Linked DNA regions of Macaca fascicularis. The protein of the gene in region 3 purifies or fractionates together with the protein of the main gene of each other region. This does not show direct contact. Links are inferred from orthologs where the notes say so. Each region holds a gene or a part of one and is shown on either strand. Other genes may lie near its edges.

Evidence for each region.
Region 1: the proteins of CEBPB (region 3) and SMARCC1 purify together in Homo sapiens (affinity purification with western blotting; 3 studies listed by BioGRID, with this or other methods). This does not show direct contact. The link is inferred for Macaca fascicularis from reciprocal best matches to the Homo sapiens genes CEBPB and SMARCC1.
Region 2: the proteins of CEBPB (region 3) and STAT3 purify together in Homo sapiens (affinity purification with western blotting; 3 studies listed by BioGRID, with this or other methods). This does not show direct contact. The link is inferred for Macaca fascicularis from reciprocal best matches to the Homo sapiens genes CEBPB and STAT3.
Region 4: the proteins of CEBPB (region 3) and ATF2 purify together in Homo sapiens (affinity purification with western blotting; 3 studies listed by BioGRID and IntAct, with this or other methods). This does not show direct contact. The link is inferred for Macaca fascicularis from reciprocal best matches to the Homo sapiens genes CEBPB and ATF2.
Region 5: the proteins of CEBPB (region 3) and ATF3 purify together in Homo sapiens (affinity purification with western blotting; 3 studies listed by BioGRID and IntAct, with this or other methods). This does not show direct contact. The link is inferred for Macaca fascicularis from reciprocal best matches to the Homo sapiens genes CEBPB and ATF3.
Region 6: the proteins of CEBPB (region 3) and SMARCA2 purify together in Homo sapiens (affinity purification with western blotting; 5 studies listed by BioGRID and IntAct, with this or other methods). This does not show direct contact. The link is inferred for Macaca fascicularis from reciprocal best matches to the Homo sapiens genes CEBPB and SMARCA2.
Region 7: the proteins of CEBPB (region 3) and SMARCA4 purify together in Homo sapiens (affinity purification with western blotting; 3 studies listed by BioGRID, with this or other methods). This does not show direct contact. The link is inferred for Macaca fascicularis from reciprocal best matches to the Homo sapiens genes CEBPB and SMARCA4.

What each region holds. Positions count from the first base shown.
Region 1 is NC_088376.1:110,591,731-110,595,230, forward strand, and holds part of SMARCC1 (SWI/SNF complex subunit SMARCC1), read right to left. Parts: intron 1,118-3,500; coding exon 859-1,117; intron 176-858; coding exon 14-175; intron 1-13. UniProt on the Homo sapiens protein: Involved in transcriptional activation and repression of select genes by chromatin remodeling (alteration of DNA-nucleosome topology).
Region 2 is NC_088390.1:63,447,410-63,451,584, reverse strand, and holds the start of STAT3 (signal transducer and activator of transcription 3), read left to right. Parts: upstream 1-1,375; 5' UTR 1,376-1,382; coding exon 1,383-1,684; intron 1,685-4,175. UniProt on the Homo sapiens protein: Signal transducer and transcription activator that mediates cellular responses to interleukins, KITLG/SCF, LEP and other growth factors. Once activated, recruits coactivators, such as NCOA1 or MED1, to the promoter region of the target gene.
Region 3 is NC_088384.1:106,283,149-106,286,880, forward strand, and holds CEBPB (CCAAT/enhancer-binding protein beta), read left to right. Parts: upstream 1-1,391; 5' UTR 1,392-1,592; coding exon 1,593-2,627; 3' UTR 2,628-3,232; downstream 3,233-3,732. UniProt on the Homo sapiens protein: Important transcription factor regulating the expression of genes involved in immune and inflammatory responses. Also plays a significant role in adipogenesis, as well as in the gluconeogenic pathway, liver regeneration, and hematopoiesis.
Region 4 is NC_088386.1:70,725,901-70,730,045, reverse strand, and holds the start of ATF2 (cyclic AMP-dependent transcription factor ATF-2), read left to right. Parts: upstream 1-1,345; 5' UTR 1,346-1,496; intron 1,497-1,635; exon of another isoform or gene 1,636-1,725; intron 1,726-4,145. UniProt on the Homo sapiens protein: Transcriptional activator which regulates the transcription of various genes, including those involved in anti-apoptosis, cell growth, and DNA damage response.
Region 5 is NC_088375.1:70,419,775-70,423,274, forward strand, and holds part of ATF3 (cyclic AMP-dependent transcription factor ATF-3), read left to right. Parts: intron 1-2,596; coding exon 2,597-2,704; intron 2,705-3,500.
Region 6 is NC_088389.1:97,065,529-97,069,028, reverse strand, and holds part of SMARCA2 (probable global transcription activator SNF2L2), read left to right. Parts: intron 1-2,535; coding exon 2,536-2,778; intron 2,779-3,500. UniProt on the Homo sapiens protein: ATPase involved in transcriptional activation and repression of select genes by chromatin remodeling (alteration of DNA-nucleosome topology).
Region 7 is NC_088393.1:11,557,530-11,561,029, forward strand, and holds part of SMARCA4 (transcription activator BRG1), read left to right. Parts: intron 1-154; coding exon 155-467; intron 468-1,858; coding exon 1,859-1,985; intron 1,986-3,500. UniProt on the Homo sapiens protein: ATPase involved in transcriptional activation and repression of select genes by chromatin remodeling (alteration of DNA-nucleosome topology).

The DNA.
Region 1 (3,500 bases), on a different chromosome or scaffold from region 3:
AGCAGTGACTCACCAAGCTTCTCTGGCTCATCGGGCCCTGTGCCCGCAATGCAGCTGCTCTCCAGGCCGTAGGTGGGATCCACTTTCCCAGAGGCTCGTGCTGCTTCTTGTACTTTCTTGACATGAGCTTCAACCAATTCCAGCGGTACCTCCTCCCGGACCCGAGAAAACTCCTCTGGTTCAAGAATAAAAATGGAACAGCAATCTAACTTTGCACAAAAATTTGCTTCAGTGTAAAACCACCATCGGGAAACCCAACACAATATTATTGTCTTAGGTGTAGCAACCTCTTCAGGCTCTCAGTCCCTCTACACCAGCAAAATGAGAGGACTAAATGAGATTTAAAAAAATAATAATGAAATTCTATGGCTCTACATTTTATCCTACACATCACAGAGCCTTGATATAAGAGATCTTTCAACTCATACCAGCAATAATCAAAACTGCTGTCCATATTTTAACTTTGCTTACTAGATTAATAAATCAAAAAAACAAAAACAGCAAGGATTAAACACCCATAAAACCAAGAAAGAGTTCTATGATGTGACGAAGTTCTAGTTATAATTAATGTGTAACCCATGAATATCAAATGACTTCCTTTGCTAGTTATACCAAATTATAAATTAATCACAAAATATACAATAAAAAACCTCTGTCCCTCCAATTCCTAAAGCTCTTAATTTTAAGACGCATTACTTAAAAATTTTGTAATACTTCCACAAAGAATATGGTATCTTTCACAGGTAATATCTGATTTTTGTTATTTACATTAAAAGAAATGAATGTAATGGCTGGTAATATTCAAATTGAGATAAACTGAGTTTTTCTGTTGAGGAGATGGTTTAGGGAAGTCCGTACCCAAAGCCGCTTTTGCTGCAGCAGATGCCACGCGAGGGTCCACCACAGATGCCAAAAAAGCAACAGTACTCATGACTGGATTTCCTGACTGACTAAAGGGGACAGGCTGGTAAGCCAAAGGCCCAAGGGAAGCATCTGAATTCTCAAGGTATGGGTCCTCAATGGGAAGTCTCAAAAAGTGGAGGATGCATTCATCCTGAGTACGACTTCCAACATGTTCCGACACTTTGTTCCAATCATCCTTATACATCTCCAGGGCCTAAAACAGAAAAAACAGATGCTTTAATGTCCAGTAACAAGAAAGTAATGTGTAATATTAGAAGTTCTTTATATAGCTTTTAAAAAAAAAAAATTAATGCAAATAGTTAAGCATAAATAGAAAGATTTGATGGCTTTCTTTATATTATTTTCAATCAGGCAAGAAAAATAAATAAAAGACATGCATACTATAAAGAAAGAAGTATTCCAAGCATGGTGGCTCACGCCTGTAATCCCAGCACTTTCGGAGGCAGATCACCTGAGGTCAGGAGTTCGAGATCAGCCTGGCCAATGACATGGTGAAACTCCCTCTCTACTAAAAATACAAAAATTAGCCGGGCATGGTGGTGTGTGTCTGTATTCCCAGCTACTCAGGAGGCTGAGGTGCAAGAATCGCTTGAACCCAGGAGGCAGAGGTTGCAGTGAGCCGAGATTGCATCACTGCACTCCAGCCTGGGCGGCAAGAGTGATAGAAAGAAAGAAAACAGGGAAGGAAGGGAGGGAGGGAGGGAGGAAGGGCTGATATTTTTACTAATATAGAGAGACATGACTGTTTATATAGAAAATTCCAAGGAAGCTATAAAAAAAAGTACTAAAACTAAACAGCTGAGCAAAGTCAAAGGATAGAAGGGCAATAAACTCAACTATATATCCATATATAATAGCAATGAAAAATTTTAAACATGAAGAAAAAAAGTATTTAAAGTAATATAAAAACTGGGTGTGGGGGCACACATCTGTAGTCCCAGCTACTCAGGGGGCTCAGGCGAGAGGATCTCTTCAGCCCAGGAGTTCAAGGCTAGCCTGACAAACACAGCAAGACCCTGTCTTAAATAGCATAATTAAATACTTAGGAGGAGGAATAAACATAATAAAGAATGTATAAGAGTAACAGACTGGAATGAGTAAAACATGAGAGAACTAAAAGACCCAAATAAAATAACGAAGAGATATATTGTGTTCATTCACCAGAAGTCTCAGTATTAAGATGTCAATTATTTCCAAGTAGAACTTTAGATTCAATACAATTCCAGTCAAACTCCAAGTAGGCTTCTTTTTAGTAGAAATTGATAAACTGATTCTAAAATTTATAAACTACATACATTTCTAGTTGTATAATTTATTATTTTTTCAGAGAAAATCCTGAAAGAAACCAACAAAAAGTTTAAAAGGAGTCTCCAAGGGAAAAATGGATAGAACAGTAGAAAGAAAACCACAACTATGTGGTGCTAAGAAAGTTGAGGAATTAATTGGATAACAAGAATTTATTTAGTGGCATACTGAAGTTGCTACTCTAACACCATTCTCTCCAGGACCATGGTTCTCAATGAAGAGTAATTTTTGCCCCCTTGAGGACATTGGCAATGTCTGCAAACATTCTGGTGGACCCAACTGGGGAAGTGCTGCTGGTATCTAAGAACAAGGAGGGGCCATATATGCTGTAAAACATATATGAACCCTCCACTCCAACAACAAAAAAACTAGCCCAAATGTCAATATTGAATGCTCCAACTGAAAAACCTTGCATTAGAGCCTAATTTGCTGATCTACACTGTGAGATTGAGCTTTCTATAACAATAGTTGTCTCCATGTTTTACTTTTTCAGTTAATTATTTTACTTCAAAGTTTGTTTGTTATTTTTTAATTTTTAGAGATGGGTTCTCACTATATTGCCCAGGATGGTCACGGACTTCTGAATTCAAACAATCTTCCCACCTCAGCCTCCCAAAGTGCTGAGATTACAGGTGTGAAATACTGTGCCTGGCCATCAATTAATTCTTAACTCTGGGTTCCAACTGCTGCTCAGGCTTTCATTTCTGCTGGAATAATATAGGACTTCTCAAAACCCAAGCCAGCAAACGGTCTGAGTCATTAAATCCCTTGAAACACTAGGCTAATTCTAGGTTTCCTCTGGATATTCAGTGACCTCTGGATATTCAGTAACCTCAGGTAGTTTCAGAAGGAATTACTTTTTGAAAGACCCAGATTGTAAGAAAAAAGAAAAATAAATCTATCTCACGCAGGTCCATGGAAGTAGAAATATATCTACTGGGGCTGTATTATGTTTCTAATTATAAATAGGGATTTTCTAGGCATGCTCTATCACGCCCTTTTCCAATGAAGTTTTTATTTTAAAAATATTTTTTCATGTTCCTTTCGCCAGGGAACAATAAGAAAGTTCAAGTTTTTTTTCCAGAATAAAGGTGGAGTTGGGGAACCTTCTGAGATACAAAATCCAAGCAAGAATCAGCATCCAGAAGAGCACAGAGTGGAGAATCAGTAAATGTCTGAGCCTGGGAACTGAGAGTAATGTTAGTAAGAGAGGAAAATAAAGAGATGTTTTGAAAAGAGAATACACTGGCCAGGAAGGAGAATGATTCAAT
Region 2 (4,175 bases), on a different chromosome or scaffold from region 3:
GCACCAGTGACCCTATGAATTGCCCTGTAGGTGCCTCTGTCCCTCGTTGGATATGAGGTGGTATGAATGGTCTGAATCTGTAGACGTTAGACGGGTTTCAGGTATCTGGAGAACCATGTGAGTGAAAGCTTGTGCTGTTTCTGGGGCTAGAATCTAGTCTCCTTCAAACACTCAGAAGGATCTGTGACTCCCTTCAAAGGTTAAGAGTCATTGATTTTTCTCACTACAAATTAATAAGAATAGCTATCCCTGGGGAGAAGGAATGATGGGGGTAGGGAAAGATTTTCATTTAAAATTTTTTACCTTTCTGAACGGTCTGCATTTTCTAAACAGGAACATGTATTAGTTTCATTGAAAAAAAAAATGTCAGGGGTTATCTGAGCAGTGAGATAATGGGTCCTTTATAGATTTTTGTCTTTATACCGGTTCGTATTAAACAAACACAAATATTAATAACATATTTTTAAAGACCCTAAAAAAATAAAAATTAAAAACCCTGATAGTATCAGCACATACACAGAAATCACTCCATTATGCAAAGTTCATCCTCTATTATGAAAGGCAAAATGTCTACATTTCCTATGAACCACTGGCTTCAATTCAGCAAAACTTGCATACCAAGTAGGCAAGGTGGAAACGAAAAAGGCGGAACATTTCATGTATTTCAATTCAGACGCATAAAAATGTCAAGCCCTACACGTATCAACTTTCGTATACACCGTCTTCTGCATTCGCCTGTACCGGCCAATGGGCTAGCTGGTCGGAGTTTGATGCTTGAAGTGATGGAACGGAGGACGGGGTTAAATCTACTATTTCTCCCCACGCACTCTAGTATTTACTCTATTTCCACGTCATGTTTCCGGGTGTGTGTGTCCCTGCTCACGCAGAAACTGAAGTTCAAAGCAGGCGGAGTCACTCATGTTCTTTTTGTTGTCCCCAGAACCCAATTCAGGTGTTGGGTCCCCAGAGGATCTGGAGATACCTGGGGACTGTCTAACTGGCTGATTCCCACGTGGTAAGAGGCTCTCAATCTCGCCACCACGTGGTGCCAAGGGCCGGGAAAAGGGAGAGCGGACAGGAGGGAGCTGTATCAGGGGCATTTAAAGTGCCTTGACGTCACGCACTGCCAGGAACTCAGCTGAGTTTTCAGCAGGACATTCCGGTCATCTTCCCTCCCTCCCCCCGGGCTTCTGTGCCCAAGTCCTCGGCTCTTCCCTCGCTGTGGCGGAGGGAGGAGCACCGAACTGTCGGAACAGCCAGCACAGGGCCGTATCAGTCTTCTCTTGGCTCCGCCCTTTCTCCTAGCTGCTCTCTTCATTGGTCAGTGGGCGGGGCTTTGTCGGTACCGCACACGCACTGGGACCTCTGGGTGGCCGAGCGAAATGGCCGTTCATGAATTATGCATGACGGCGTGCCTCGGCCAGGCTGGGGCTGGGCGGGGATTGGCTGAAGGGGCTGTAATTCAGCGGTTTCCGGAGCTGCGGCGGCGTAGACCGGGAGGGGGAGCCGGGGGTTCCGACGTAGCAGCCGAGGGAACAAGCCCCAACCGGATCCTGGACAGGCACCCCGGCTCGGCGCTGTCTCTCCCCCTCGGCTCGGATAAGCCCTCCGGCCTGAGGGAGCCCCGTCGCCCGCCCCCGGCGCACGCGCAGCCCCGGCCTCTCGGCCTCTGCTGGAGAAACAGGTGAAGGGGGTGCAGGGTGGGGCCGTCGGGGAGGCCTGGGGACCTGGGGGCGCCGCCGCGGTTGGGGGCCTCTGGGACCTTGGGGATTTTGTGATGGACGCTGCAGTGGGGCGGGGAGAGATGAGGAGACGCGGAGGGTCGCCCTGAGGGAAGACTCTTCGGGATGACAGGAGCGGGCCTCGGAAGGGACTCGGGGCGCTGGAGGGAAGTTTCGTTCTTCGGAGAAACAGTGAGAACGCGCCCGAGGGGGCACCGTGGGGCGAGGGCGCACTCGGCTGCGGCGGCAGGAGTGAGGGACAGTCCCCCGATTTCCTGCTCCCTGGAGCCCTGGGGACGTTCCGGCCGCCGGAGCGACTGTCACGCCGGCGGGGATCACCGGCGCGGGTGGGGGTCGGAAAGCGCCTCCTCCCCGCCTGGCCGGCGGCTCCCTCTGAGCCACTTCCTCCGCTTGCCCTGTTCCCGCTCCTTCAGGAGCCAGCTGTGCCCTTCTGGAGGCAGGAATAGGTGTGTCTGTCCCCTGCAGCCTCACGGGCTGGCTGGTCGCGGGTAGGCTTTATTGCATAAGAATCAAGTTTCCTGTAGGGAAATTGACAGACCGGTACTCTTTCTAAATTCCCTTCCATCTTTTTCTAGGTTAAACTATGCTCCCCTCACGCCCCCGCCATGTAAAAAAGAGGGGAAAAAAAGACAAAATCCCCGTCAACCCGTCAAGCCAGCTCTAGAGAGATAAATAAATCTCTTGGCAATGTTCTTTTCCAAATACCTGGTAAAGTCGGCCAGAAGATAAATAATTGAGCCATTGCGTTTACTGGATTGTGGTGTTGCTTAATTGCATAGGACGGAATGAACCAATCGAGAGTGGGAGTTCTGTGTCTCAGAGCCAAGATCTTGGGTAAATGCAGAGGAGAGGGAAACAAAGACAGGCTGGCCTTGACAAAACCATGTGTGCTAAGTTTACCTGCATTTAGGGGGGTGTGGTTGCACTGAAGTTAACAAGATTCAAACCGTCGCCCAAGTTGGTATTTCCATGTTTGATACACATCACCCTGTGCCATATCAGGTCGTTGTAAGTGTGGTGACAAAATCAGTGGTTAGTCATTGTTTTTTGTTAAAAATGTGTATAGTGTGTACCTGCTGGTCTTACTGTATGTGCAACTAAAGGTTTACGTAGTCTGTGCATGGGTTGTAAATTTTTGGCTGGCTGTGCTGATAAAGCATTGGGCTTGAATAAAGCAAAGCAGAAAATCATCTCAATCTTTTATATGTGGATTTAGACTGTGCTATGACTTGATTCAGCCAGTTTTCTATTTTATTTTATATTAAATATGTCTGTGTTCTCTGAGTCAGCACATTTATTTCCTTATTACATGTTCCAGACGGGAGTGCTAGCCCAGTTTTTGTTCAGTTTGCACAGTGGGATGGGGAAACAAGTCTGGAATTAAAAAAAAAAAATGTTTTAGAGGTTGGAGCCTTGATTTTAGTCTCTGTATTAGCACATCCATCACAAAGAACCATTAGTAAATTCATGAATCTTTTGTTTTTTATGTAGTTCATTTGGGAAGAATAATCACTTAAAAATATCCACAGTGCCAGGCATGGTGGTGCACACCTCTGATCCCAGTTACTTGAAAGCTGAGGCCGGAGGATTCCTTGAGTCCAGGAGTTGAGTCTGGTCTGGGCAACATGGTGAGAGGCCAGGAATTGGGTCTAGAGTCTAGTCTAGGCAACATAATGAGAACCCGTCTCTAAGAAAGAAAGGAAAGGAAAGGAGGAAGAAAGGAAAGAAAAAGAAATACCCACAGCACAGTTATGAATTGACCCACAAAGGACTTGTGAGGTAGGTAGTTCACATAACAATTACTCTAATATTGTAGATAAGAAAATTGAGGCCAAAGGATCAAGACACTTGCCCAAGGCGGCAGAGTGCCATAGTGGTGGAATTTGTGCCGCCTTCTGTATATTTTGTGAAAAGTATCAGTGAAATTCTTTTTTTTTTTTTTTTTTTGAGACGGAGTCTTGCTCTGTTGCCTAGGCTGGAGTGCAGTGGCGCAATCTTGGCTCACTGTAACCTCTGCCTCCTGGGTTCAAGTGATTCTCCTGCCTCAGCCTCCCAAGTAGCTGGGACTACAGTTGCGCACCACCACGCCCGGCTAATTTTTGTATTTTTAGTAGAGACCAGGGTTTTACCATATTGGCTAGGCTGGTCTTGAACTCCTGACCTCGTGAGCCGCCCACCTCCGTCTCCCGAAGTGCTAGGATTACAGGTGTGAGCCACCGCACCCAGTATCAGTGAAATTCTAACATATATCTGAACAGTAAAATACCACCAACAGGCTGAAAGACTTTATGGGAGGTAAATATTCAATAAACACGTGAAAAAAGAAATACAAATGGAGCTTGCTTAGATTATTTTTCTACCTAATTGCTATGTCTAACTTGGGAAGTGAGGAACTGTTTTTGGTCAGCATAATTTACCATCAGAATTCAGCTA
Region 3 (3,732 bases):
CCTCTAACCTGAGCCTAGGGAGCAGAGGCGGGCCGGTAGTTAGAGGGCCTTGGGTCTGTGTTCAAGTCCAGGCAGGCCGTTGTCACTTTCCCATCTGTGAAACGGCAGCAGCAAAAGCATCTTCCTGGTGGGGTGAAAAAGAACCTCGGGGTCCAGGCCCACCCTGAGCACAGGGCAGGGACTTGGTAAAAACTTCTCTTTCTCTTTCCTTCTCTGTTTCCTGCATGCCACCCCCCTCCCGTGAGGCCTGGCTTAAGCCCCTCCCCAGCAGCTTCAGAAACAGAAGCTTTTTGGCCTCTGGGGCTGGCAATAGGTCTTAGGGCCCAGATGAGGGCATTTCGTTTGGGATGAATGGGGGACATGCGGCCATGTGACCTTGGTATGCCATGCCATGCTCCCTCTGGGCCTCCACTGGCACAATCCATGGGGGTCCCTTTCTCTCTGATGTGCAGCCCACAACGTAAGCCTTAGGTTTGGGAGTCTGGTGGGAGCAATGCCACCACCGCTGACAGTAGCGACACCCTTCATGGACTGCAGCTGGGAGAAGTGACTCATCCAAGGTCACACAGTGTGGCAGGGCCCAGCACCCCTCCGCCCCTGCACCATCCCAGGGCCCAGGTCGGATGGCGCGGCGCGGGGCAAGAGAAGACCCGGGTGTGTACAAGCCGCAAGCAGGCGGCAGGTGCGGTGGGCGGGGCTAGGGGCGGGACACCGTGGACCAGGGTCCAGCCCCCAGCGCAGCGCGATCCTGCTCCGTCCCCCCGACCCCCGGGGTCCTCATATTGGCGGTGGCTTAAGAGGGGAATCGTCACAGGCGTGGAGTCTACTCCTTTCTAGAGCCGGGGACCTGGGGAAGAGGTGGGAGTTTAGGGGGAAGGGCTACGGAGATGGGTCGCTTCTCCTGGAGCTAGAGTTGCGGGCTGGGGTCTCCAGGGTTCCGCCCGGGGAGCGGCCCCTGGTCCGCCGTCGGGGCTCTGCTCGGTCCTCCTGAAACCTCCGCCTCCTCCAGCAGGGGGCGGGCCGGGGCCGCATCTCCGGGGGAAGGCGATCAGGTCGCCCCCTCCTCCGATTCCCCCGCCTTCCAGGACAGCCTCCAGCCCAGAGGGGCGGTCTGGGGGCGGGGTCGCACCGCCCCCTCTCGCTCCCAATCCCGGGGCGGCCGGGCGGGGGTGGGCAGGGGGCGTGAGGTCGCCCCCTGCGGCCCGGGGACCCCCCCCGAAAACGCGCTCCGGGTGCCCGGTCCTCCGCTGCGCCCTGCCGCCGTCCTCCTGGGGGTCTCGGGCGGCCGCGGCCGTGTCCTTCGCGTCCCGGCGGCGCGGCGGGAGGGGCCGGTGTGACGCAGCGGTTGCTACGGGCCGCCCTTATAAATAACCGGGCTCAGGAGAAACTTTAGCGAGTCAGAGCCGCGCACGGGACTGGGAAGGGGACCCACCCGAGGGTTCAGCCACCAGCCCCCGCACTAATAGCGGCCACCCCGGCAGCGGCGGCAGCAGCAGCGACGCAGCGGCGACAGCTCAGAGCAGGGAGGCCGCGCCACCTGCGGGCCGGCCGGAGCGGGCAGCCCCAGGCCCCCTCCCCGGGCACCCGCGTTCATGCAACGCCTGGTGGCCTGGGACCCAGCATGTCTCCCCCTGCCGCCGCCGCCTGCCTTTAAATCCATGGAAGTGGCCAACTTCTACTACGAGGCGGACTGCTTGGCTGCTGCGTACGGCGGCAAGGCGGCCCCCGCGGCGCCCCCCGCGGCCAGACCCGGGCCGCGCCCCCCAGCCGGCGAGCTGGGCAGCATCGGCGACCACGAGCGCGCCATCGACTTCAGCCCGTACCTGGAGCCGCTGGGCGCGCCGCAGGCCCCGGCGCCCGCCACGGCCACGGACACCTTCGAGGCGGCTCCGCCCGCGCCCGCCCCCGCGCCCGCCTCCTCCGGGCAGCACCACGACTTCCTCTCCGACCTCTTCTCCGACGACTACGGGGGCAAGAACTGCAAGAAGCCGGCCGAGTACGGCTACGTGAGCCTGGGGCGCCTGGGGGCCGCCAAGGGCGCGCTGCACCCCGGCTGCTTCGCGCCCCTGCACCCGCCACCCCCGCCGCCGCCGCCGCCCGCCGAGCTCAAGGCGGAGCCGGGCTTCGAGCCCGCGGACTGCAAGCGGAAGGAGGAGGCCGGGGCGCCGGGCGGCGGCGCAGGCATGGCGGCGGGCTTCCCGTACGCGCTGCGCGCTTACCTCGGCTACCAGGCGGTGCCGAGCGGCAGCAGCGGGAGCCTCTCCACGTCCTCGTCGTCCAGCCCGCCCGGCACGCCGAGCCCCGCCGACGCCAAGGCGCCCCCGGCCGCCTGCTACGCGGGGGCCGCGCCGCCGCCCTCGCAGGTCAAGAGCAAGGCCAAGAAGACAGTGGACAAGCACAGCGACGAGTACAAGATCCGGCGCGAGCGCAACAACATCGCCGTGCGCAAGAGCCGCGACAAGGCCAAGATGCGCAACCTGGAGACGCAGCACAAGGTCCTGGAGCTCACGGCCGAGAACGAGCGGCTGCAGAAGAAGGTGGAGCAGCTGTCGCGCGAGCTCAGCACCCTGCGGAACTTGTTCAAGCAGCTGCCCGAGCCCCTGCTCGCCTCCTCCGGCCACTGCTAGCGCGGCCCCCGCGCGCGTCCCCCTGCCGGCCGGGGCCGAGACTCCGGGAAGCGCCCGCGCCCGCGCCCCCGCCTCCGCCCCCGGCGGCGCCGGCAAAACTTTGGCACTGGGGCACTTGGCAGCGCGGGGAGCCCGTCGGTAATTTTAATATTTTATTATATATATATATCTATATTTTTGTCCAAACCAACCGCACATGCAGATGGGGCGCCCGCCCGTGGTGTTATTTAAAGAAGAAACGTCTATGTGTACAGATGAATGATAAACTCTCTGCCTCTCCCTCTGCCCCTCTCCAGGCGCCGGCGGGCGGGCCGGTTTCGAAGTTGATGCAATCGGTTTAAACATGGCTGAACGCGTGTGTACACGGGACTGACGCAACCCACGTGTAACTGTCAGCCGGGCCCTGAGTAATCGCTTAAAGATGTTCCTACGGGCTTGTTGCTGTTGATGTTTTGTTTTGTTTTGTTTTTTGGTCTTTTTTTTTGTATTATAAAAAATAATCTATTTCTATGAGAAAAGAGGCGTCTGTATATTTTGGGAATCTTCCGTTTCAAGCATTAAGTAAGAACACTTTTAATAAACTTTTTTTTGAGAATGGTTACAAAGCCTTTTGGGGGCAGTAATTGGCTTTTGTTTTTTTTTTGCTTTATTTTGGATTTGTAGGATTTTGTTTTTGCGTTTCTGGTGTGTAGTGGGTTGTGTGTGGGGGGCTGCTGTTATTTTTGGAGGTTTTGGTGGTTGGTGGGGGTGTTGCAGCTGGTTTTTCTGCCTCCTCTGCTACACCCTCCCCCCACCCACAGGGTCTGCTTGGAGATGGGGTTCCAGCCCTGGGGGAAAGGGGAGAAGAGTAATGGGTCAGGCTTTCGGGCTAACTCAGAGCTCCTGGGCGCCGGGACCGGTGGCTGGGAACCCTGCTTGAGAAGAGATTCCGGGACCTCTGACTGGTCCCGAGTGTCAGGCTTGGGTTTGGAAGGGCTGGGAGGTCTGTGACCCCTGCCCTGTGTTTGGGGACTAGATAGGCAGGCCTGTGACTGTAGGAGGAGGGGTTCAGGTCTTGGTCCTGCTGAGCCCGAGTCAGGGCAGATGCTTTTAGTAAGTGTAGTTG
Region 4 (4,145 bases), on a different chromosome or scaffold from region 3:
TGGAAAAATAATTTTTTAAAAAATCTATTCTAATTGACCCAAACTTCTTTTGAAATGTCGTAACATTTCTAATTCTTTTTCTCACATTAGTTGTTTTGGGAGATGGAGAGAGAAGCATCATTTTAATCAATGTTTTCTAGACCTAACAACTGTGATGTCAATCAAACATTTTGTCCACCATTTCCATCATCAGTAATCTGAACTGTGAGGTTTTGCTGACATAGTGTTACACTACAATGACACTACTACAACATTACTGTTACTATATGGGGACAACACTTTCATTTTAAGTAGGAAAGTGTTAATAATTTGGCTTAATGTTTTTTAACTAAAATTAGTTTTAAAAGAGGACTGAGTTGGCTTATATACATGTATGCAGTCCAGAGACCTACCTGTGAAAATGTCAATGCCATTACAATTTCACTTTATGCCAGATATCATTCTTGAACTTCAGGCTCATTATCTCTTATAATATCCCCTAAAACCTTTCAACAACTTTGAGAGTGTATTTTATGTTAATATATAAACTAGTTCATAATTTTGTTACAGACTAGAAATCAGTATTTAATAAATGGAAAAATAAAAGACTGAAAATCTTTTATTGAGTAAATTTTCAGAGGCCTCTGATCATACTTTTCAACTTGTGCCTATTTATTGAATAACCAACATCCCTACAGTTAATATTAAAATCTTTAAGTTGTGTGAGGTTTATTGGAGGGTAGGGATGGGGAATTACCAGCAAACTCTGCCTCCCGCAAACCTCACCTAACCCGAAGCTCCCCGTCTCAGACTCCCGGGGAGCCAGGGGTAGGCTGAGGAACGCAGCCTACCTTTACCCACCTCCCTACCTAGTGCTGGGAAGCGACGGCAACGGAGACACCCGGCTCCTGGGGCTGGGCTCGGAGGACCCATCCTGCTTCCCCCTACCAGCCTTTCTGGAGCTCACCATCCTCGCTTCACACCGCCAACACCCTGCCTACCCCTCCTCCGCCGCCTGCACCCGCCCCCTCCTCCAGCCGACAGCCAATCACAGCCTTCCACAGCCTTGGGTTTACAGAGGTAACGCTCCTTGGGCCCTCTGGTCCCGCCCCCTCCAGAATTGCTTCCCGCCCTTCGGGCTCCTTGCCCAATCACGAGCGCCCGAGTGCTCTTTGGTGCCCGTCCCCTCTACCCGCCCTGCCGAAGACCCGCCTTCTTCTCCTTAAGCCTGACGGAATCACCTGACTCGGAGGCTCTCCCTCAGAAGGAAGGCAAGACGGGGCGTGAGCATGGAGGGGAGGGGCGCGAGAAGGAAGGGGGGGATGCCGGGAGCGGGGCGGGTCGGGGGGGGGGGAGGAGAGTTGTCAGTCCGATCTCGCGAGAGAGGACGGAAGCCTGTGGGAGCCCGTGGCCTTTAAAGTGCCGTTCAGCCTTTTCGTCCAGGGGTGGTTTGTAAACACGGCTGTGCTCGGGGCTCGCGAGTGACCGAAAGGATCATGAACTAGTGACCTGGAAAGGTGAGTAATGATGGGCAGAGGTCAGCAGGGCTGGAGACTGTAGGGATACGGAGAAAGAAGGTGCTAACATGGCGACGTCGCTCAGCACAGTCCCCACCCCCCGTTTCCCATCACCTCGGGTGCTCCTGACGTGCTTCTTAGCCCTTGGGGCGATTGTGGCTGTGATGCCACCTTAGCGGCCCGCGCGGTTTGGGCTTTGGGAGACTGACTGGCTGGGCCGGACCGTTAGGTAACCAGGGTTCGTTGTTCCGGCCCCTCCCTCTCGCGCGCTTTCCTAAGGCAGAGGAAAAAGGAATAACGGCTCCTCTTAGACCCCTCCCTCCGATTTATCTTCCCCCTGCTTGGGTCAGTTCAGAGGTCCTCGGGGCGCGCGTCGAGTCAGCCGTGTGCGCAGGGAGACCTCTCCCACCCACAGTCCTTGGGTTGGGCGGGGAGAGGGCCCACTCTAGTCTCCCCACCCAGTGTTCAAGCGATTGAGGACCGTGTATTTGTGATGGTGGCGGGGAGGAGGATCGGGAGGCGCGGCTGAAAATAGAATCAGGGTCCCTGGCTGCGGTGCAGCCTGAAGGAAAGAATGGTGTGAAGAACCTGGGAGCTGCAAGTCTCGGCCTTTTCCGTCCTTTCCGCCACCCTCACAGTCCCGCTACCCCCCACTTTTTCCCGGTGGGGCGGGGCTTAGGTGTGGGTGCAGAGTGATTCTGGTATTTTCCCCTATTTTTTTTTTAATCTCTTTGGGTGGACAGCAGACCTTATGTAAAGAAATAATTTGCTTTTCATCATGCCCTAGGAACCAGGGCCGAAAGGGAGTGTGTGTACGTGTTTTCCATGTTCGCTCGTTTAACCGAACCTAGGAGGAAAAAGAGAGGAGGAGCTGGGGACTATTTTTGTGCCCCTAGGTAGTATAAAATTGGCTTTCCTTAATGGAGAGTCTTAAAACTGGTGAGGCCAAGAGCAAAACTACTGTGAATATCATGTAGTAAAAGAGATTATTCCTGATGGACCTCAGGCATCAGAAATTTTACTGAAAGAAATGTTTCTCTTAAAATTCAACACCTATTTTAAATAGTGATGTAAAGCATTTCTTTACATGTACCTTCAGGTTTTCTAATGCTTTCCTGGCTATTATTTAACTGGTACTAAGGGATTGACTAATCCCTAAATTATAATGTGAAAGTTTAAATTTCTTAGAGGTTTTAAATTATGGAGACGTCACAATGCATGCATTTACGATATACATTTAAAATCAGAACAAAAACTGACTTCCTTTGAGCACACTTTTTGTCCTATTTGAAGAAACATGACCACTGGCGTTATCATTGTCAGTAACAGCCGTTCTAATCTTTAAATAGCCATATAGCTTTGGTCTCATGAATCAAAATTATGAAGGTAAAGCTTTATAAAAGCTTTTTAAAAAGTAACACCTACAGGTTTAAGTGCCCTGAAGTGCAAACACAGAAACAGTTTTATCATGTATTCATTTTTTTTCTTACTCGAGGAATCCACCGTAAAAACTTTGTTTCAAAATGATAGGAACATCCTTGTAAAATACGTTTTAAAAATAGATACCCTCTGCAGATTAAGAAAGTTCATGGATCTTTAAGGCCGTCAGTAGTTGCGTAATAGTTAAGAATCCTCGTCTTTGTAAAATAATTTCTAGGAATCTTCCAGATTTACCGTGATGTGTAAAAGAATTTCTGAGAATCTTCCAAATTTGCCGTGATGTGTATGTTGCCTTTCCAAGACGTTTAATCTTGCTTTGAGAGAATGCTACTGCCATTAAGTTTTAAGAAATGATTTAAAATGTAATATCGTGGAAATTTAGAACTTAGATGTTATGTATTTTAATTGTCAGTAAGGAAGGAGCTTTCAGGGACCTTTTGTGTGTGTGTGTGTAGGGTATATAATACCTTCTGTAGCTCCGGGTGCATTTCCTGAAAATCCTTTTTAAAATACCTTATCCGAATGTTTATTTCGTATTTGGGGCACTATATTATTATTAGTTAAATATGTAACCCAGGAATTCCTGCACTTTTTTCTTTGGCGTTGTTTTTTATTTTTAAGCTGAGATAATAGAGGCTGGGCGCGCGCGGTGGCTCATTCCTGTAATCCCAGCACTTTGGGAGGCCGAGGCGGGGGGATCACGAGGTGAGGAGACCTTCCTAGCTAACACTGTGAAACCCCGTCTCTACTAAAAGTGCAAAAAACTAGCCGGGCCTGGTGGCGCCTGTAGTCCCAGCTACTCAGGAGGCTGAGGCGGGAGAATCCCTTGAACCCGGGAGGCGGAGGTTGCAGTGAGCCGGAGGTTGCAGTGAGCCGGAGGTTGCAGTGAGCCGAGATCGCTCCACTGCACTCCAGCCTGGGTGACAGCGAGATTCCGTCTCAAATAAATAAATAGTAGAAATGGTTGTCAGCATTTTAACAAATAATGGGGGTGGAGGTACTCTTTATTGGTATTCAGGATCTGAAAGCTCTGTGAGTATGGTTGAAAAATATTCCATACATCAAACATCTATCTATAGGTAGCGTTAACTCTTCAAAGAATAATGTACATTTTTTCTACCCAACTTTTTGTATTTTGGAAAACTTGAGTTTTAATGATACATACATTCTTGTCTGGTAAATTGTTAGATCATGTTAGATCAGGTAGTC
Region 5 (3,500 bases), on a different chromosome or scaffold from region 3:
CTTTTCAGGCCAGGCATGGTGGCCCACGCCTGTAATCCCAGCACTTTGGGAGGCCATAGTGGGATTATCGCTTGAGTCCAGGAGTTTGAGACCAGCCTGGGCAACACAATGAGACCCAATCTCTATAAAAATATTAGCTGGGCAAGGTGGTACATGCCTGTAGTCTCATCCACTTGAGAGGCTGAGGTGGGAGGACCGCTTGAGCCCAGGAGGTTGAGGCTGCAATGAGCCATGATCACCTCACTGTAGTCCAGCCTGGGTGATGGAACAAGACTCATTTTGCTTTTAGAGACGGTGTTGCTCCATCACCCAGGCTGGGGTACAGTGGGGTGATCACAGCTCATTGTAGCCTCAATCTCCTGGGCTCAAGCCATCCTCCTGCTTCAGCCTCCCAAAACACTGGGATCACAAGCATGAGCCATTGCACCCAGCCGGGGTTGCTGTTTTAAATTAGGAAGTCAGGGAAGGATTCACTGAGAGTGGCTTTTGAGCAGAGGTCAAAAGGAAAGGAAGAAGGAAAGAGGAGAGGGAAGAAGTCATGTGGGTATCTGGTAAAAGAAATTCAGGGCACTGAGGTGGGAGTATTGGTGCCTGGTGGGCTGTGCAGTGGGACAGAGTATGGGGGTGGGAGATAAATAGGGGCTGGTCATATTGAGTCTTACAGACTATTGTATAGATGTGGCCCTGTGCTCAGAGTGAGGTGGGAAACCACAGAAGGGTTTTGAGCAGAGAAGCAACAAGATTCAACACACACACACACACACACACACACACACACACACGTACATTTTTTTTGAGATAGAGTCTTGCTCTGGCACCCAGGCTGGAGTGCAGTGGCATGATCTTGGCTCACTGCAACCTCTGCCTCCCAGGTTTAAGCAATTCTCATGCCTCAGCCTCCCAAATAGCTGGGATTACAGGTGCCCGCCACATGTCTGGCTATTTTTTGTATTTTTTTAGTAGAGACGGGGTTTCTCCATGTTGGCCAGGTTGGTCTTGAACTCCTGACCTCAGGTGATCCACCCGCCTCAGCCTCCCAAAGTGCTGGGATTACAGGCGTGAGCCACCATGCCCAGCCTTGATTTGTATTTTTAAATGATCACCCTGGCTGTCATGTTGAGAATGGGCAGCAGGGGCAAGACAGAAGCTGAGTGCGCAGAAAGGAGACCATGGCAGGAATCCACGTGAGTGGGTGTGGCGGGGGGCTGCATCAGGAGGGAGCAGTGCAGGTGCGGAGAAGTTGTTGGCTTTGGATCTGACTTGAAGGTAAAGCTGATTTGCTGATAGATTGGATGTGGGGTATGAGAGAAAGGGAAGACTCAAGGGTGACTGAGTTTTCTGGCCAGCACAGCTGTAAGAATGGAGCGTCCATTTGCTGCTGAGATTTGGGATTATAGGGGTTAGGGTGGTGGCAAGAGCAGGAGATCTGTCCTATTCTGCACCCCTGTGGAGATGTCAAGCAGGCAGTTGAATATGTGAGTCTGGAGTTCAGAGGAGAGTCTGGTCTAGAGATAATAGAGTTGGAAATTATCAGCATATAGATGGCACTTAAAAGCCATGAGTCAGGATGAGGCCACCTTCTGTGTCCAGTTGTTCTGAAGAAGCATGGAGTGTGGTGGTCCCTATTTGTATCACTACTAGGACCCAAGCACCCAGACAGTAGAGCAAGGCAGGCAGCCTGCCCCACCCTTCCCTGTAGCAGTGTTCACAGCCTTGGGACCAGGTGTTGCTCCAAGTTCACTTCTGTCTTACACACTTGCACTGTTCCACACTTGGCAACCTTGCATAAGACCCCTGGAATAATAAACATGGTGAGAAGTCTGGGAGGTGGCTTCTGGTGATGTCATAGTGGCTTAAGGATGTCAGAACTGAGGTTCCACCATTTTATTGGCCTTTTCCTCGTGGTGGCAAGTGGAAGTGTTTCACGCTTACTAAACTGGCATGACTGCAGCCTTTGGGCAAGGAGTAGTGAGACTGGCCTAAAAGATGGTCCTAGTTCACCACTTGCAGGTGGCACCCCAACATGGGCCAATTAATGCCACTTTGGTTGGGAATGGGCTTAGGTGCCTTCTCTGCAGGAGCATCATGGGCTTCTCCCAAATTTGGGAAGCTGGTGCTCTGATGCTCCAGGTGAAGTCAGAGGTGAATGGGGTTTGCCCTTGGGTCTTAAATCGAAGAAGAGGCCGGGAGAGGGTGGCTACGTGATGATCCTGAGGTCGTTCCTGGTTCCCAAAGAAAGGAGATGTTTACCAAACAGAATCTGTTTCAGCTTTAAATGATTACAGTTAGTACCAATAGTTATCAATTTGCATATTATCCTCATCTCAAAATCCAAATGCATTTTCAAAATTGGCTAACTTTTACTAATATATTGCTGGTATAATTTTAACTTTGATTTTTATTCTTCACTCACGTGTGTGTGTGTGTGTGTGTGTAGGGGTTTTCACACAAAAGTCTAGAGCTTTATTTTTTTGGGGTCCTTTAGCGCTAGCACTGGACCTTGTCTGCCAGCTTTTGCTGGCAGTAAAAGGCAGTGTATTTGAGATAGGTGGCATTTCTTACTACCCTTTAAATGTGTCCCTTTTGGATTTTATAGGTAGCCCCTGAAGAAGATGAAAGGAAAAAGAGGCGGCGAGAAAGAAATAAGATTGCAGCCGCCAAGTGCCGAAACAAGAAGAAGGAGAAGACGGAGTGCCTGCAGAAAGTAAGTGCCTTCTAGCCTTCCCCTTCCTCTCGCTCATGCCTATCCTCACCAGCTTCATGTGGCTGTCAGAAGAAGAGTTAGAAAACCCCTTACCTGGTTATAATTTCCCAAGAAGGGCCTTGTAGCTGGTAGCAGAAATGCCAGTTGCAGAATAAGGAGGTGGCAAAGCAGTAAACACAATGGATGTGACTGTGGATATATAAAAGCAGGTGTGTGAATTCATCTGATGCCTGACTCCCAGCAGCCTCGGCCAGTTCATACATGTCCATCAGCTTCCAGGCTGCAGGACATGCCAACCCAGTTAAAGAGGCTTCACTTGACTGTTTTCCTGAGAAAAGGAAGCTGCCAGCTCTCATTTGGCTCACTATGAATAGCCTTTAATTAATCTCTTCAAACAAGTAATTTCCTTAATCCACAAGCAGTGGTTACATTTGCTTTGCATTCTTGTCTGGTTCCTAACTCTACAGTCCTTCTCCCTGGCTTAGCCAGCAAGCTGAGCCCCTGGCTGTGTTCAGCCGGCCCGCCTTAAGAGAGATAGAGCTTTTGTGGGTAGGCAGGGTGGCCGGTGGTGCCCAGCAGTCTTTCCAGTGGTTGTGTCCCTCCTCCAAATGTGGTTAGGCCAGGGCAGAGTCTTAACCCAGGTCCCACAGATCCCCAAAGGGTTATGTTGATTGCTTCAGGGGATCAGTGAAAATTAGGGAATTTCGTGTGTTGCCATATACATTTTTTCTGAGGAGATGAGCTTCTCATTGAGATCTGTGACTCAGAATCGACTAAGCCTCCCTGAGTCTGGATT
Region 6 (3,500 bases), on a different chromosome or scaffold from region 3:
TTAGATGGCTTGTCCCTTTCTTTATTTTTTAAAAATTTTGTCAGAGTTTGATGTATTTAGGTCATGGATTTGATTTCATGCATGCTATTTGTGTGTGTGTGTGTGTGTGTGTGTGTGTGTGTGTGTGTGTGTGTATGGTTGATCCTGGAATGGCTCTTGACTGTCCTCTCAGAGTTGATGAGTTTACATCTCTTAGAAAAATTCACCTGGTTGCTTCTGCAACTCTTTTCTCTCCAACAGCTTTGAACATTCTCGGGAGAGAAATAATTGTTTTTGTTGCCCTGAGATATTGTCAGTGTAACTTCATTCCTCTTGTGCCTTTGTTTCTCCAAAGATGAGCCAGACACCTCTGCATATGGTCTCCGCCATATGAACGTTTATCCAAGCATTGGCTTTTGTGGTAGTCTTGTTTCAGGTTTTTCCTGGTGAAATAATAGACTATCATTGTTGGATTACTCAAGGCTGTTTCTGTGACTATTTATTTGAAACTGAGAAAGAGGTGTTTCTGTGACTTACGTGTCTCCTAATTTGTGTGTCCTAAGTTGTTCCTCAGCCACAAAGTAGAAGTTTTTACCCCCATTTATATCATCTTGTCTTCTAGTACATTCATGTAGAAAGATGGAAGTACTCTCTCTCATGGAACAAATAATGAAAACTCATTTTTTTTCTCTTTAGTAATTTTTTTTTTTACCCCATGATGTTTTGAAAGCACTATAATCTGAAACTAAGTTATGTCCAAAATTGAATAGAACCTCTATTTCTGGGGTCTATTCTATCTCTGCATTAAACTCTTGCTCTGGGAACTGAGAGTTCCCTTCATGGCATCATAGGAAATAACAAAAAGGAAATGTGTTCCCAGGGGAGGTTTAATAATTGAGATGGCACTGGCAACAATGTTGTGTTCCACCTCCTCACACTCAGAGATGAATTTGGCAGTGTCAAAAATGATGTGTTTTCAATATTACTATGGGAATGTATTTGTACATTTGAGATCCTTTTAAAAAAATTCATATTGTGTCATCTGCATATGTATTTCAAGATTCATTGGAGATGCCTGGTAATGAGATGCATTGCTTTTATTTGTTACTGGAGAAATGGAGCTATAGAAAGGGGTAGTAATTTTGTCCAAGTGGAAGACCTAATTAGTAGTAGACCCAATAGCAAAATCAAAGGCCTCTGATTCTTTATTACTTCATAAGCTAAATTAGGCAAGAAAGTAGATTTAGGATATTTATTTAAATATATTTTTGTCTGCTTACCTCTTTTCATGCTATTGGTAAGTTTGAGGCAGTTGATTGTACAGTTTTAATTATCCTTTAAGCACTTTCCTTAGAGGTGGTGGAGGAAGGAAGAAAAATTGAGGTAGGTTTTTTGTTTGTTTGTTTGTTTACCTATACATCCCAGCCTGACTGATAATTTTATTCCTTTTCCCCCGGCATGTCTGATGCTTCTAATGAGGAAGGCAAGGACTGTATAGAATACTTCCCTCATCTCCCTTCTGTCTCTAGGAGCTTTGCAGCAGGATCTGGGGACATCTGAGCACCAGATGTTTTTCTTGGCCATAGCCACTGTTTTGTAGAGAATGGATAGGCTTAGTGGAACATTCCTCATTGTTCTCACTTTAAGAAACTGAACAGTGCTCTTAAGAGGACCGAAGGGCAAGGCATGAGAGAGGAAAGGGACTGTGTAGACAGGATGGAGGACTGGGCCATTTAAGCATTCTGGACGTTTTACGCAATAGTCATGTTGGGGAAGTATGCTGTATTTAATTCTGCAGTTTTGGCATAAATAGAGGAATGATATTTTTGCACTGCCCTTTCTGCCAGTGAGTATATACTTTTATTTTAGATAAAACAGGGGTCCTAGATCTGGCAGGTAAGGAATGTGCGTGTATTGAGGTCAGACCTAATTTTTGAAGAGCTGTATGTACAAATTTAATGTGAAATGGTCCAACTTTTAAATGTTAGCAACCAGTCCAAACAAAACAAAACACACTTCCCAGCCAAGCCCTAAAGGTAGTAACCAGCCAGGCTAATAGAAAAGAAGGTATGGAGCCAGGAATATCTCCGCTGTAGAACCTGCTAGGGCCATCTTGGAAAAATCAGTCATTAACCTCTGCTTCAGGTGGGTACCTATATTCTGCACCTGTCATGAGCCGAAATAGCATGACAATGAAATCTGGGATAGCTGTCATGATACAGTATTACTAGAAGGGGCACTGGATGGGGAGATACAGGATCCACATGTAGGAACAACCATGTCATTCTGGACCCAACTTTCTTTCTTTGTAAAAAGTTGATTTGGAATTACGAGGTCTGTAAGGAACATTGTTGCTTTAACATTCTATTATTACAGGATGTCTTATGCGGCCTATCAGGCATGAGACATTGTTGAGATTCTCTTGTCTCAAAGGTAATCACAGCATATCATATACCAAGGATGGGTTCTTTGGTTTTCCGCACCACTACTTGCTTGTTGGAAATAGTTGTATTTTCCCTTGCTTACTACATGTCCATCCTTCCTCTTATGTTATAGATTCGGTGGAAATACATGATAGTGGATGAAGGCCACCGAATGAAGAATCACCACTGCAAGCTGACTCAGGTCTTGAACACTCACTATGTGGCCCCCAGAAGGATCCTCTTGACTGGGACCCCGCTGCAGAATAAGCTCCCTGAACTCTGGGCCCTCCTCAACTTCCTCCTCCCCACAATTTTTAAGAGCTGCAGCACATTTGAACAATGGTTCAATGCTCCATTTGCCATGACTGGTGAAAGGGTACTGGTCTGACTTTTGTTTTTTCTACTGCATGACAATGACATGAAATGAAAGGCCCTAAAGCTGGGAACATTACTGCCACAGAACACCCGCAGGGTGGTTTACAATGTTGTTTATTTTATGAAACCCATTGGTGGGTGGACATGGTCTCGTGGTGGGGTTATTTTCCCCTCCTAGGAAAATGGATCTAGTGGTATACGGGGCATCTAATCCCTTTGTCTTTTGCCAGCATGTTTACCAGGCTACCAGAAAAGGGTCCTTACTGGTGGAACCAGTGGGCCACAGGGAGGATGAACATGGAGATATTTTGCTGAATTAATTTAACCAGACCAAATTAACAACTAAATACAAGCTTTAAACAAATCTTTCCTTGTTATAAACTTGGAGTTCCCTTTGAAATATTTCCACATGAAGAGTTTGTGTGTAAAACAGAACTAGTTTTCACTAATTTTCTGCACACTTTTTTTTTTTTTCTTTTTAGGTTTTAATGTGAGTTTCAGTTTTGTGTGTACATAAATTGTCTTCCTGGAGTAGCCATTTATTTTCCAGTTTCTTACTGTTCCTTCCACTGTCTTCTCTTAAGACCTCATTTATGAAAGGAAGACAATGAGCCGTTGCAAGAAAAGAACTGGGCCCATGTCATTTTCATAGTGGTTCCTCATTCATAGGAATGAAAAGCCACTAAAAATGCTTTAGTAAAATTTCAGTTTGAATTATTTCGT
Region 7 (3,500 bases), on a different chromosome or scaffold from region 3:
AGTGAAGGGTGTGAGGGACAAGGGTGAGGCTGAGATCTGGAGGAGGTTGGCGCCCAAGGCGGGTGTGAGGGACACCCCTAGGTGAGAGGTGGGAGATGGGCGGGGTCTGCCTGTCCCCAGGGCCTCGAGCAGCCCAGCAGCTTTCTGTTTCCAGCCTGGATGGGCCCCAGAGCTCAACACGATACCCTGGCTCCTTGCCTCCTCCCAGGACCCATGGCGAATGCTGCTGCCCCCACGAGCACCCCTCAGAAACTGATCCCCCCGCAGCCAACGGGTCGCCCTTCCCCTGCGCCCCCTGCCGTCCCACCTGCCGCCTCGCCTGTGATGCCACCCCAGACCCAGTCCCCCGGGCAGCCGGCCCAGCCCGCACCCATGGTGCCGCTGCACCAGAAGCAGAGCCGCATCACCCCCATCCAGAAGCCGCGGGGCCTCGACCCTGTGGAGATCCTGCAGGAGCGCGAGTACAGGTGAGGGCGTAGCCCCAGTTCCCATATGTCCCATATGTCCCCCTGGGGAAGCCACTCAACTTTCTCCCCCGCCTTAGGAAACAGTGCCCTGTGCCCACCGCTGCCACTTGGCCTACACCTCCTTCCTCACCTCCCTGCTCCCACTCTGGCTGCGGTCTGTTTCCCACACAGCAGTCTGAATTCTCTTTTTTTTGAGATGGAATTTCACTCTTGTTGCCCACGCTGGAGTGTAATGGCACGATCTCAGCTCACCACAACCTCCATCTCCCGGTTTCAAGCGATTCTCCTGCCTCAGTCTCCTGAGTAGCTGGGATTATAGGCATGCGCCACTGCGCCTGGCTAATTTTATATTTTTTTAGTAGAGACAGGGTTTCTCCATGTTGGTCAGGCTGGTCTCAAACTCCTGACCTCAGGTGATCTGCCTGCCTTGGCCCCCCAAAGGGCTGGGATTATAGGCGTGAGCCACGTCGCCTGGCCTGAGTTCTCTTTTCACGATTGATTGACGTCAGATCTACTCCCTAGATTAAAACCTGCCTGTAACTCCAATTATCTGCCCAATAATCTTTGCCTATGTCCACTCCTGCCCAGCATCCTTCCTCACCCACCCCACTCTCTCTGTTCCTCTTTTCATTTATTTAATAAGTTAGGCTTTTTCCTGCCCCAGGAACTTTGCACAGGCCGTGCTGGCTCCTTCTACTCATTCAGGCCTCATTGCTGGGATTCCCTCCTTATGGAGGCCCTTCCCGTCACTTCCAGCCACTCTCTGGAATTGCAGTGGTTATTTTATTTTTTTAAATCTCTGTTATGGACTGTTTTTTCTAATGAGGCTGAGAGTTCCTTGACTTGCTGATCTTGTTTAGTGGTAAGGCCCTGCGCTCAAAATGGTCCCTGGCATACAGTTGGTGCTCAATGAGTATGTGCGGAAAGACTGATTAAGAGGATTAGTTCACATAACCTTCCTATGTAACCTTTGTAATCTTCAGACCACACCTCTAGGGTCTCTCCAAGGGGTCGCCTCAGTTTTGAGATGAGAATGCTGAGGTGTGCAGGTGAAGTAGATTCTCACGGCCCTGTGCCTCATCCATGCCAGGGCTGCATGAAAACCCCGGCCCACCTGATGCCAGAACCTGGCTCACACCACTGAACAGGCATGAACTGGGCGCGCCTATCAGGAATCTTGTTTGCTGCCCCCTGAGGCCCGGTCCTGAGGAGTGTCCCTGGCTGCCTCCCTCTCTGCTCTGCCCTGCGGCCAGCATCCTCTTCTGAGGCATCTCTTGCCTCATGACCAGCACCTTCCTTCCTTGAGGGATGGGTCCCCTGCAGCTCCAGCTATAACCGGGTGCCCTGGCAAGCCTCTCACTGCCTTTGCTCCTTCTCTTCTCTGCCCCCAGGCTGCAGGCTCGCATTGCACACCGAATTCAGGAACTTGAAAACCTTCCCGGGTCCCTGGCCGGGGATTTGCGAACCAAAGCGACCATTGAGCTCAAGGCCCTCAGGCTGCTGAACTTTCAGAGGCAGGTGGGTGCCGGCACGGCCGCAGCTTTCCAGGAAGGGCCTTTGTCACCAACACTGCTGTTAAGCCTCCAAGTATGGCTTGCTGGGCTGGTATTACACCTGCCTGGGCTGTGAAAAGCAGCTGTGGCCACCCATGGGCACTCATTCACTGCAGAACCTTCCTCTTGCGTCCTGCACAGTGCTGGAGACATGGACCTCTCTACCCTAAAGCACTTGCCTCTTGAAGCAGACTTGCAAGGGCTTCTTTCTTCCTTTTCTTTTCCTCCCTTTCCCTTTTTTTTTTTTTTTTTTTTTTGGGAAACAGTCTTGCTCTGTCACCCAGGCTGGAGTGCAGTGGCACAATCTCTGCTCACTGCAGCCTCCGCTTCCCGGGATCAAGCAGTTCTCCTGCCTCAGCCTCTCAAGTAGCTGGGATTACAAGTGTGTGCTACCATGCGTAATTTTTATATTTTTAGTAGAGACAAGGTTTCACCATATTGGCCAGGCTGGTCGCAAACTCCTGACCTCAAATGATCTGCCTGCCTCGGCCTCCCAAAGTGCTGGGATTACAGGCATGAGCCACCATGTGCTGTCCCGCATGGGTCTATTTCTGAGGGTACTGTTCTTAGTGAGACCCTGGAGTGCAGTGGAGAGATCACAGCTCACTGCAAACTTGACCTCCCAGGCTCATGTCATCCTCCCACTTCAGCCTCCTGAGTAGCTGGGAGTATAAGCGTGCACCATTACACCTGGTGAATTTTTCCTTTTTTTGAAACAGAGTTTCACTCTGTTGCCCAGACTGGAGTGCAGTGATGCTATCTCGCCCCACTGCAGCCTCTGGCTCTGTGGTTCAAGTGATTTTCCTGTCTCAGCCACTGAGTAGCTGGGATTACAGGTGTGCACCACCATGCTGGGGTTATTTTTTTTATTTTATTTTATTTTTTTTTTGAGACAGAGTCTCACTCTAGCCCAGGCTGAAGTGCAGTGGCACGATCTTGGCTCACTACAACCTCTGCCTTCCAGGTTCAAGTGATTCTCCCACCTCAGCCTCCCGAGTAGCTGGGATTACAGGCATGTGCCACCACGCCTGGCTAATTTTTGTATTTTTGATAGAGATGGTGTTTCACCATGTTGGCCAGGCTGGTCTCGAACTCCTGACCTCGGGTGTTCCTCCTGCCTTGGCCTCCCAAAGTGCTGGGATTACAGGCGTGAGCCACCACGCTGGTTTTTGTGTTTTTAGTAGACTCAGGGTTTCTCCATGTTGCCCAGGCTGCTCTCGAACTCCTGAGCCCAAGCCATCCACCTGCCTCGGCCTCCCAAAGTGCTGGGATTATAGGCATGAGCCATTGCTCCTGGCCACCTAGTTAATTTTTCGGTTAGTTTTTGTAGAGGTGAAGTCTCACCATGTTGCCCAGGTTGGTCTCAAACTCCTGGGCTTGAGCAGTCCTCCCACCTTGGCCTCCCAAAGTGTTGAGATTACTGGTGTTAAGCCACACACCCAGCCAAGGGTGCTGTACTTCTGAATGACTCCTAAGAAGC